3 linked regions of the Macaca mulatta genome follow. The protein of the gene in region 1 interacts with the protein of each later gene in a biochemical or structural test. Links are inferred from orthologs where the notes say so. Each region holds a gene or a part of one and is shown in the gene's direction. Other genes may lie near its edges. The genes, in order: DSG1, JUP and PKP1.

Region 1 (4,161 bases):
ATATATTGCTCAGACTAAGTCATAGGTTTATGCAGTCTATTTTACTTGACATTTCTCATTAGAGAAAATTGACCAACCCATCTTTCTAAATTTTATTTATTTACATCTGCTATTTACAATCATAAGCATTCTTATTCACTGCAAATAAACATGGGCAGGCTATCTCCTACCCTCTACAGTCTATGATGGATAATATGAAAATTCAAACCATGCATCTTCTTTGCCACAAATCTGTAGTGAAATGACAGCCTTCTATAGACTCTCTGACCCTCAGAGATATTCTTCCTTTTGGAGACATTTTGAGTACTTTTTGACCATAATCAACATCTCATCAGATAGGTCTCTTGTTCCAAGTAGCCGTTTCAAACTCTGAGGGCATCTAGTGCCTATGAGCTTCCTGCCACTCACAATATTTATACTAGACATTGTCAGGGGAAGAGAAGAGAGTCCAAAAATATGTCCAAATGCTGCCTTGTGAAGGTTGCTATTTGTTTTCACAAACCTCAGGGCTGCATTCAGTTTCCCATCTACATGTGTAGGCAGCCATTTCTTCAGTGTATTCCCTGTGTTCTAATTGGCTCACTGTACAGATTCTTGGCTCTGTGCTTGGGAATTGTCATTGACTTTTAACCCACCTCACCTGTTGAGCAGCTTTCTGTGTTTCCATTAGTATTTCAGGCACCAAATCTCATTTTTAAAATTATTATCAGGATTTTAATTGATAGTCCTCACTATTCACCCTTAATTAAGTTTAGTAATATTTAAATTTTTGTTTTATTGTATTTAAAAAAAAAGAATCATAAAGAAAGAAAAATACTTAGGGAAAGAAAATCATTCCTTTAGAGGGAAAATGGAGGATTCCTTAGACTTAAGGCTGGTCAGTTAATGGGAATTGTGACTTATGCAGAGGTTCTAATAATTATAAGCATCACAGTTTTACTTATTGGAATTAATAACTTTAAAAAAGCCTCACTCGCATTAGCAAATTTTCCTTCTCTTAACAGCTGAAAATAACTGAAACTTTCCCAACATCTACTAAAATGGAAAATTTGTAATTTTCTACTATGACCCGAGGGTTTGGCTACAAACAGCTAATCGAATGAATAATATGAGCATTCAAGTTATACCTGCCTGTTGAATATGGGGAGAAACTAAACTAGCTGTAAAGAAAGCATGGGGTGAGAAGCCCCCATCACCTGTATAACCCTCCACATTTCTGTTCACTTTAAGAGCCTGCTACTGAAAACCTTCAGTAAAGGAGTGAATCTTCCTTGCCCCATCGAGAGTTGCTTTTCAGCTAGAAGAAGGGTGTGTCCCCAAGTTTTTACCTGGGAGCAATGATGATCTTGTCAAGCATTTCAGTGAGACCAGCCCAAGTTTTTAGGGTGGGGATCCAGACTGGTTATACGTACCTTCAGTCCTTCTCCCAGAGGAAGGCAGAAACACCTCAAAGCCTGCATGTAAGAACATCTACTGAGAAATTATTTTAATCAGACACCAGCTGAGTGGGAGAAAGAAAAAGAACAGAGAAGAACAAACAAAACTCCCTTGGTCTTGGATGTAAGAGAATCCAGCAGAGATGGACTGGTGTTTCTTCAGAGTAGCTGCAGTGCTGTTCATTTTTCTGGTGAGTGGATTCTGGTAAAAACCCTTCATAATCATGCTCATTGTAAACAAGTGAAAACTTTTTAGAAAATGTTAGTAGGCATTATTTCTAACCTAAACCCATTTAAAATATATGTTAATGACAAGGTGATTTTATGAACTAGATTTTTCAATAGCATTTCTCTCTAACTGAAGACTCAAGATCATGTTAATGCATCAGTGTCAACTCATTGTATTACATCTCTGACATTGAAGTCATTGCTAAGTCATGCTGGGAAAATATTGAATTTAGGAAATTCCTATCGCTAGTTAGTAGCACTTTGTGGTTCAAAATCTCTTGCAAGAGGGCTTTTAAACTAAATATCACAAGTGTGTCTGGGTTTTTAACCTAATTTTGTTTTTTGTTTTTTGTTTTTTTAGTATCTTTGATAGTGGAATTACTCTAATTTTTAAAACATAAAAATGGCATCCACATAATTTAAAATCATAGCAGTTTGTGGCTGGCCTCGCTATCCAAATAAACTCATCAGTTGCATATTTGGTTAGAATCTGTATCACTACTTTACAAAGCCCCACACTGTTTATGATTTTATTTAAAACATTTTTAATTTCAAAAAATGGCAGTATAGGAGGTTTATAAATGACATATGAAGTGAAGAAGTGGCTACAATTAAAGAGTAAATATAACTATTATTACACTTGATCTTACTACTGGAATGTCAGTGATGACTGTGATACAAAAGTTGTGCACTTGATGGTCAGACGAATGTGATGAAATACTTTACCATTGCCCCCTTACATGTAATTCGTTTTCTCTTTGTAGAGATAATACTAAGTGCACCACTAATGTATTATGTCAATTTCACTTTCAGTGAAAATTTGAAAATTGTAATCTCTCTCACAATAAGGTTAATGTAATTCAAAAAGGCAGGTGCCAAGTCAATTGCCCTCCAGCTTGGCAGGATGTATAATGCTGTGGTTCACATTTGTTTCTACTTGCTTGATTTTTGAACTGGAATGTTGGGTTGGTATAATAAGTTAGATCTTTGATTCAAGGTATGCTGGTTAGTTTGAATTCAGTTTATTAACTAAGGCAGGACATAATCAGTGGATTTAGTTATAAATGAGCATCAGTAAAATGGTGGCTTTACTTCCAAGCTTTCCTTCAAACATTAGTCTTATCCCATACTCTTTTCAGTGGATATTTAGAATCAGTTGATTTCATTACTTAGGGTTTGGTAGGGATCACTGAGCATCATACAGTATGTCATTTGAAATGCAAGAGTTTCATATTGTCAGTAATCAAATACTTTGACTTAAAATTTCAAATAAATTTGATCCATTAAGGGCTATTATAGTTTTAGTTGATCAGCTTGTTCAGAAAGGTGTACACTAACTTTCATAGAATCTCTAAGATGTACCTTATTTCTTGATTTATTTATTTCAAATTAATTACAGCATATCAAATGTCTTTAAACAATCACTTTCTATTTAGTCATTCTTCAATAAAATGTATCATCATCAAAATCGTTTATCTTTATTGAACTTTCTCTGGCTGTGCCTAGATTGTTTTTTGTTGGTTTATGGGTTGTTTTTGGGAATGGGGGAAGAGGAGGTTACCTTATTTTATATTGAAATCAATCACAAGTCTCTCACATGCCTTATGAAAATTATTTCTCAAATAACTTACACTATCATGAATTACAATGTTTCATTTTCACGTTGACATGACAGCTTTTTTTTTTAAAAAACATTTCACTTTCTAAGGTTTGGAAGATCAAAATTTATTTTAAGTACTGATTTTGCCACATGGGATAATTTTGGTAATTGTCCTTTGGAGTTTCCTAATCTGTATTTTTCTTTAAAATACTTTTTTCTTCAAAACAACCACCCACTATAGCAAATTATTTCAGTTATCTTTCTTCTAGTCTCATTATAAATGCGTGCTTTTACCAAAAAGTGAAAAAAATCTGTGTAAAGTCTTTATATTCATCTCTACTCAAAGTCAGTAAGTGGGAACCTGCATTAGGAAGTGTGTTTGTACCGTAGTTAAGGCCTTTAAGATATTCAAATTGGTCATGTCTTTTAAGCACATCCACCTGAGAACTGGGTAACTATCTGTTTGCAAGCATACTGTGTATTCAGCTCAATGCATCTGAAGGTTGTGAACCTTGTTCAAATGAGTGGGTTGAATCAGGGAGAACAAAGCTGGAGGAGCTGCTCTTACAGCAAACAAGATTGCTCTATGGCTAGTCTATTGTTCTGACAAGTCTCCTAGACAGACAAGAGATTACACCTGCTATAACACTGCAAGTCAAACACGTTTTGTTAATTCTACATCTATTTTGCTTTCTTCTTTTTGTTTCCGTATAATCATTGCATGGAGTAGGGAAAGGAGTTAGAATGTATTTTCTCTAGGCCAGAGAACAATGCTTCCTATGCACCAGATAAAAGAAATCTGTGTGCATGTGTATGACAATGGTAAAAAGTACAGCATGGTCACTGTGGGAAAGCAAAACAGAGCCAGCGGGATCTCTATGGTTTTAATGATTTCTG
Region 2 (3,646 bases), on another chromosome or scaffold:
CTTTGCCCTCCAGGTGGTGGTGACTAAGGCGGCCATGATTGTGAACCAGCTATCAAAGAAGGAGGCGTCGCGGCGGGCCCTGATGGGCTCACCCCAGCTGGTGGCCGCTGTCGTGCGCACCATGCAGAATACCAGTGACCTGGACACGGCCCGCTGTACCACCAGCATCCTGCACAACCTCTCCCACCACCGGGAGGGGCTGCTCGCCATCTTCAAGTCGGGCGGCATCCCTGCTCTGGTCCGCATGCTCAGGTACCCACCCCTGCTCAGTGCAGGAGTCCAGGACCCCGCCTCACTTGGGCCTCTCCCCTCCCTTCCCTGGGCTTCCATAAATACCCAGCGAGCAACTATCATGTGCCAGGCAGAGGCACACCCCATCCTGGTGCTCAGTGGCTCACAGCCCAGCAGGGAACACAGGCATGTAAACAGCAGGTTAATGATCAGGATATGACACAGGCTGTGGCAGAAGAGCATTGAGGTTGCTCAGAGGTGGAATCGCTTAATGGCAGGGGATTAACAGATGAGTGGAGTTTGGCTAGTGTGGAGGAACCGAAGAGTGTCCCAGGCAGAGGGAACAGCAAATGCAAAGTTCCTTACAAACTTTCTGTTTCTGGGCCCCCTACAAAATGTTGATTGGTCTCATTTCTCGTTTTTTTTGAGATGAGGTCTTGCTGTCGCCCAAGCTGGACTGCAGTGGCATGATCTCAGCTCACTGCAGCTTCCACCTCCCAGGTTTGAATATTCCTTCTGCCTCAGTCTCCTGAGTAGCTGGGATTACAAGTGTCTGCCACCATGCCCAGCTAATTTTTTTTTTTTTTTTTGAGACAGAGTTTTCCTCTTGTTGCCCAGGCTGGAGTGCAGTGGCGCAGTCTCAGCTCACTGCAACCTCCGCCTCCCGGGTTCAAGCGATTCTCCTGCCTTAGCCTCCCAAGTAGCAGGGATTACAGGTGCCCACCACCACGCCTGGCTAATTTTTGTATTTTTAGTAAAGATGGGGTTTCACCATGTTGGCCAGGCTAGTCTTGAACTCCTGACCTCAGGTGATCTGCCCGCCTTGGCCTCCCAAAGTGCTGGGATTATAGGCGTCTGCCACCATGTCGAGCTCAATTTTGTATTTTTAATAGAGACGGAGTTTCGCCACGTTGGCCAGGCTGGTCTCGAACTCCTAACCTCAGGTGATCCCCCGCCTCGGCCTCCCAAAGTGCTGAGATTACAGACGTGAGCCACCGCGCCTGGCCTCATTTCTCATCCCTATACCAGGCTGGGAGCTCCATGAAGGGGAGACACTGATTTCATTCCCCTCTGAACACCTTGCAAGGCCTCTCTAATATGTGGCCTTCCACATGGTAGTTACTTAGTAGGGATCAGTGTCTAGGGACCTGCTGTGTGCTCAGCACAGGGCTGGGGGCTCAGAAGCAGGAGGAGTCATTGTCTCAGTTGGGAGAAGACAGGTGCTGTTTGCTTCATGCTTAAGAGCCGGGCAGGCTCAAGGAGTGATGAGATTTTAGCAAAGGGATATTTCCAGAGGGGTGTCAGTAGTGGGGAGGCTTCCTGGGGGAGGTGGGAACCCATACCAGGCTCACATGTATGCCAGGCCCCTGGGACCTCGGCATACTAACCCCTGCCCACCCCCCCAGCTCCCCTGTGGAGTCGGTCCTGTTCTACGCCATCACCACGCTGCATAACCTGCTCCTGTACCAGGAGGGCGCCAAGATGGCCGTGCGCCTGGCTGACGGGCTGCAAAAGATGGTGCCCCTGCTCAACAAGAACAATCCCAAGTTCCTGGCCATCACCACCGACTGCCTGCAGCTCCTGGCCTACGGCAACCAGGAGAGCAAGGTGGGCCCTCCCCAACCCTCCTGAGGCCTGAAGCCCACCCTTGCGTCACCCTCTATCCTCCACAGCTTCGGGCTGCTGCCCCTTACTCCTTTTAGATGAGATATAGGGGCAGATGTGCATGCTTCATCATGCGACTGAATTGGTCAGAATTATTATTTTGAGCATAAGGAAAAAAAATCACTCATCCTCATACAGCCACTATTGTCATTTCGATATGCTCCGTTAAGAGCTGTTCTGTGGGCAGACTACAGATGTGTGCACATTCTTGTCATAACAATCTGCAACATTGCATCTGTTTTCTGCCTGCTTTTTTTTTTTTTTTTTTTTGAGACAGGGTCACCCAGGCTGGAGTGCAGTGGTGTAATCAGGGCTCACTGCAACCTTGACTTCCTGGGCTCAGATGATCCTCCCACCTCGGCCTCCAGAGTAGCTGGGACTTCAGGCATGTGCCACCATGCCCGACTAGTTCTTTTTTACTCTTCTTTTTTTTTTTTTTTTTTTTTGAGATGGAGTCTCACTCTGTCGCCTAGGCTGGAGTGCGGTGGCGCAATCTCAGCTGACTGCAACTTCCGCCTCCCGGGTTCAAGTGATTCTCCTGCCTCAGCCTCCCAAGTAGCTGGGATTACAGGTGCCCACCACTATGCTCAGCTAATTTTTGTATTTTTAGTAGAGACAAGGTTTCACCAGGTTGGCCAGGCTGGTCTCAAACTCCTGACCTTAGGTGATCCATCTGCCTTGGCCTCCCAAAGTGCTGGGATTACAGGCGTGAGCCACTGCACCGGGCCCCCGACTAATTTTTTGTAGAGGTGAGATTTCTCCATGTTGCCCAGGCTGGTCTCAAACTCCTAGGTTCAAGTGATCTGTCTGCCTTGGCCTCCCAAAGTGTCAGGATTACAGGTATGAGCCACTGTGTCTGGCCTGCATGATGTTTAAAAAAAATTGTTTTTGCTCTGTTGTCCTCAAAACCACCCTCTAATAATGACAGATTGCCTTTCCTTTCCCCTTTCCCCTTTCTTTTTCCTTTTCCTTTCCCTTTTCCTCTCTTCCTCTCTTTCTTCCTTCCTTCCCATTTCTTCCTTTTCTTTCTTTTTTGAGATAGGGTCTCACTGTGTTACCCAGGCTAGAGTACAGTGGCATGATCCTAGCTCACTGCAACCTCAAAATCCTGAGCTCAAGCATTCCTCCCACCTTAGCCTTCCTGATAACTAGGACTACAGAAACGTACCAATGAGCTAATTAGCACCTGGGCTAAGTTTTAAATTTTTTATGGGGATGGGGTCTTGCTCTGTTGCCCAGGCTACCCTCAAGGAATCCTCCTGCCTCAGCCTCCGAAATAGTGGGATTAAAGTCATGAGCCACCATACCTAGCCTACAGATAGCATTTCATTAAGTGGAGACCTTAGGCTTTATTCTGAGGGAGGGTATTTAGATTGCTCCTATTCCACCTTTATAAACAATGCTGTCTAACGAATTAACGAATGTCTTTGGGCATATAGCCTTTGTCAAAGAGTGGAAAAAATTCTCATTGATTTTTAACAGTTCTAGGCTTTTACCCAAATGGCCAGACTGATTTCCAGAAGGATTGGACTAATTTCCAGTGCCATAACTGGTAATGGATGTGCATATAGTTTTGTCACATCCTTGTCAGCACTAGGTATTATCCTTTTTTTCAAAATTTTGGCTTACATAACAGTCATGAAACTATTGGGGTGGGCTGGGTGTGGTGGCTCACGCCTGTAATCCCAGCACTTTGGGAGGCCGAGGTAGGTGAATTGCCTGAGGTCAGGAGTTTGAAACCAGCCTGGCC
Region 3 (4,287 bases), on another chromosome or scaffold:
AATGATAATAGAGGTCTACAGGTGTTTTGTACACATCTATGACATATTTTTGGTCACATCTCTGGTTTACTTGAGGATAAATTCTTAGGAACAGAGCCCTCAATAATAAAATTGTTTCTATTAGAAACTACAGTCTGTTTTACAACACTCTGCTCTGGAAATTGCTACCAGGAATACCTTCCTTGGGCAAGTTGCTCCCAGCATGTAACACTCACACTCAGGAAGTGCGTGAGTGACCTTCATGTGGTCCCTGAGACAGTCATTCAGTCTTCTAGATCCTTCCTCGACATAAAATTCCCAAAAAGAATAGATTTCTGATTGCCCTTTCCTCCGTAGATTAGAAGAGCAAACTAAAAGTAAAGCATGTGAGCTGTGAAGGGCAACCTCAAATGACAGCAAGAGTGACGGCTGTGATAGTGTCACACAGCTGGTGGAGGCCCCAAAACTAAGAAGCTGACTGGACTGCACGACTACACAGTTCAGTAATGGATGTCCAGAATGTGAAACTCAGGGCATCAAGAAGTACAGCAAATATGTTCAGTGTTGTTTGCTTTAGGAGGCAAAGCAGAATGCGATACTTTTTAGAAAGATTTCCATCAAAGTAAATACTTTAAAAAAAAAAAAAAAAGCACTCGGTTCCTGTTACACACCAGATTCACTGATGTGGGCTCTCTCCATCCCTGGGGAGGATGCTACATGAATGAAGCTTCACTGCACATGTGTCCCCAGGGGTGTGAGTGTGCATAGGGGAATGCACACAGTGGTCCCAAAATAGTAAGTCCAGAGTGGAGTTTCAGGATAAAGCAGCTTTTCAATTTTTCAGTGAGGATCTCGTTAGGATCCAAGTTAGATTTAATTTACCTTAAATTAACTAGCATTCATGTATTCACCTATTTAAAAATATCTTTTATTGAGTACCTAATATTACCTGTGCCAGGCATTGTATCAGAGGCTACAGTGGAGTTTCAGAGAGGATCCGCTGTTCACGTGGTGTTTTACCGGGCTATACTCATGAACAACAAACAACCACCAGTTTCACCAAGGCATACCCACTGTGTGGTCTGATATCTCAAGTCTGCTCCTTGATGTGGCCTTCCTGCCCCTACCCGACTTGCTTCAGAGGAAACTGCTTTAGAGTAGACTGGGTTGCCCCCATAAGATGGAGCACTCCTTTGGAGCAAGAGCTATGGTTCTGCCATCAGCCCGGGAGCCTCCACCGCCGGGGCTGGTCTCTGCTATGACCGCAGTACAGAGGGAGATGGACGCCTGGCTCTCCCGGACAGCCTGGTCAAGAAAGACTCCTTTTTTCCTAGAGAGAGGTCTCCCTCGGTTCCTGAGCTGAACACATGCTTTCTCAGTGAGCCGGCAGAACAGGACAGAGGGGCGTCTCCCTGGGGCCTCAAGGCTTGCGACGTTTCTTGCTCATGGGGAGAGGAAAAGGAGAGAAAAAAAGAGCGAGCAGGAAGGCGCTCAGTGTCCCACACGGGGGACTCGTAGCCCTGCCCCCAAGAGCGCTGGCTCCGCAGCAGCAGTGCCCTGCAGCTCCGCGTCTGAGCGGCAGCAGCGCGCGGCCAGGTGGAGTGGGTGGTGCAGGGCAGGGGTGGTATATCCTGTCTGACGGAGGGCGGGCCTCGCCACTACCAAAGAGGGACGAACCGGGGTGGAAGCGCCAGGAGCAGCTGCCGGGAGCCCTCACGCGGACCACGCACTCTATGGCCGTAGGGAGCTGCTGAGAGCGAGAAGAGCACGTTACCGCCCGCCCGCTGCACCGCACCTCGCCTCGCCTCTCTGCTCTCCCAGGCCCCGGCCGCGCGCCTCCAGCCTCCCGCCACCATGAACCACTCGCCGCTCAAGACCGCCTTGGCGTACGAATGCTTCCAGGACCAGGACAACTCCACTTTGGCTTTGCCGTCGGACCAAAAGATGAAAACAGGCACGTCTGGCAGGCAGCGCGTGCAGGAGCAGGTGATGATGACCGTGAAGCGGCAGAAGTCCAAGTCTTCCCAGTCGTCCACCCTGAGCCACTCCAATCGAGGTAAAGGCTCGGTCCCCGCGTGGTCCGTGCGCCCCTTTTCAGAGCGCCCTGGCCCAGCGGCGGAGACCAAGGGACGCAAGCATCCCAGGGGGTGCGGGGAGGTGAGGGGCTGCTGGCCCCATGCAGGGTCTACGCGCCGAATGCCAGCAGCCGAGCTCCTAGCCGGTTCCGAGCAGATGGAACAGCCACCCGAGGCTGGCTCGACAGCTCCACGAGCTCGATGGCGCGCTAGTGGGCAAGGATGGGTGGTTCACCCGGACACAGCCGGCAGTATCTCCCAGCGTGCCAGGAGGCTGAGGATCCCCCGCGAGCGGTTCTCCTGTCCCTGAGCCCTGGGTCTGGACGGCTTTCTCTTTCGGGTGCTGCTCTAGGGATCAGCCCTGCATCATGTCTCACCCTGGCTGTCCTGGGGGCCATGGTCCCCGCGCTCGCAATCAGTTGTGGGCCACCCTTCAACCTTCCTGGGCTTGATCTCCTGGCCTTCAGCTGGCAGCCGATGCCCGGCGTTCAGGCCAAGGGGAACCCCAGTCCCCGTGTGCGTGTGTATCCGCGAGCGGCGTGAGGGAGTCGCTGAGACAGGAGTGCAGCTCAGGAGAGTCGCTGCGGGACGGGGAAGTGGCACAGGGAGCAGGGAGGAGGCCCTGGAACTCCAGGGCACTTTATTGGGAGCCTCCTGAAAGAGGCTAGCCTAGTTGGAAGGCCGCCCCAGGGCCAGTGGGTCCCTTGACAACAGGGAAGGGGGTCAGGATGCCTTCTTTCCCGAATAGCCAATGCAGAACTCCTCTTTCCCACTGAATTCTTTCTACCCCACCCAGCTTAGGTAGACAAGTGTCTCATGGGGAGAGTAAGGAATGAGCATGGCAGGTTGGAAATACCCCTAGGCACCAGGGAGACCTCTAGCTGAGCCCTCACGGGAACTTTTCCAAGCTGGATCCCGGGCCTGGCACCCCCTCCTCCAGCTTCTGAGAGGCCAGAGCCCATGACTGGGGAAGCCTGGGAGAAAGGGGCAGCACCCGCGAAACTCAAGGAGGAAGGGGCAGTACCTGACAGGGGAGAGCTTATAGACCAAACAGATGCTTTAATACAAAGGATGCCTGGTAAGAATTACACAGAAGTGAGCAAAGATTCCCCTTGTTTATTTATTTACTTATTTTATTTAGCTAAATTTAGTAAAATACTAATAAAGACTTTGCCCACCACTAACCAGTACAGGTAAACCAAGACTTATTTATTAAGACAGGCCTTAGGAGAGAGTGAGGGGCAGGGGGTCATAAGGTGGAAGGAGACAAAAGAAACCAGCCTTGGCCATTCTCCCACCACACACACACACACACACACACACACACACACACACACACACACACACCCCTACCTCACACTTTCTACCTCTGGCTTCTGTCCCCCCACCCACTCCCTAGCCCCCATTCCTGAGTGGCCCCATGTAGAGCCGAAGGAAGGAAAATGGCGGGCAGATGACTTCCTGGGCCCCAGACCTAAAGGCCTTTGCTGCTCTGTGCTCTTTGCCTTTGTCTGAGCCCTGGGCTCCTCTCCTCACATTTCCACTCAAGTTCGTGCCGCCTCCAGAGCACATGCCTCCTTCCCTTTTATTTGGTGCATTGTTAGGTGCCTCCTAGCCTTTTTAGAAGTAGGTTTGGAAGAACAAAGTGCCCCATTTCTGGCTATAGCCCAGGGCACTGCTCAATCTACTCTCCTCTCTGCCCAAGACTTGGCTGTCCCCTTCCCACTTCCACTCCATCCCAGCCTGAGCTCTTGGCTCACAACTCCAGAAAACTCAAATGGCCCTGGGTGCCCCAAGGACCCCTTATTCCTCCCACCTATCAGGATATCGGCTGAGTGTCTGTCAGCCTGAAGTGTACTTTCTGGGCTTGGTCTTTGTGGGGAACCTCTATCTGATAAGGTCTCCTTTGTTCCCTCTTTGTTTTTCCTCCCAAGGTCCTTCAGGGGGCTTCATTGAGGGGAGGGTTGATGCTGATGGCTACCTCTCCAGAAACTCCAAGGTCTGGCCCTGTGGGCGTGTCCCCTCTACCCTCAGACTCTGCGGAGGTTCCTAAAGGAGGCTGGTTTCCCCAGAGGCATCCTTGCTGGAAGAGGCGGTTTGGTCACTTGGAGCTGGTGTTTCTGGTTTAGCTGGCTTCGTTTTCATCAGATTTCCTTGTCCTCTCCATCAGAAACGCCCAAGCGTCCCCTATTTGCTCTGCGGCCACCTCTACTCACTCTGCTCCCTCTTTCTC

The links.
Region 2: the proteins of DSG1 (region 1) and JUP form a complex in vitro, tested with the Homo sapiens proteins (2 studies listed by BioGRID and IntAct). The link is inferred for Macaca mulatta from reciprocal best matches to the Homo sapiens genes DSG1 and JUP.
Region 3: the proteins of DSG1 (region 1) and PKP1 form a complex in vitro, tested with the Homo sapiens proteins (2 studies listed by BioGRID and IntAct). The link is inferred for Macaca mulatta from reciprocal best matches to the Homo sapiens genes DSG1 and PKP1.

Annotation. Positions count from the first base shown.
Region 1 is NC_133423.1:61,190,851-61,195,011, reverse strand, and holds the start of DSG1 (desmoglein-1), read left to right. Parts: upstream 1-1,351; 5' UTR 1,352-1,579; coding exon 1,580-1,627; intron 1,628-4,161. UniProt on the Homo sapiens protein: Component of intercellular desmosome junctions. Involved in the interaction of plaque proteins and intermediate filaments mediating cell-cell adhesion.
Region 2 is NC_133421.1:66,096,222-66,099,867, reverse strand, and holds part of JUP (junction plakoglobin), read left to right. Parts: intron 1-13; coding exon 14-252; intron 253-1,637; coding exon 1,638-1,839; intron 1,840-3,646. UniProt on the Homo sapiens protein: Common junctional plaque protein. The membrane-associated plaques are architectural elements in an important strategic position to influence the arrangement and function of both the cytoskeleton and the cells within the tissue.
Region 3 is NC_133406.1:58,927,626-58,931,912, forward strand, and holds the start of PKP1 (plakophilin-1), read left to right. Parts: upstream 1-1,425; 5' UTR 1,426-1,833; coding exon 1,834-2,035; intron 2,036-4,287. UniProt on the Homo sapiens protein: A component of desmosome cell-cell junctions which are required for positive regulation of cellular adhesion.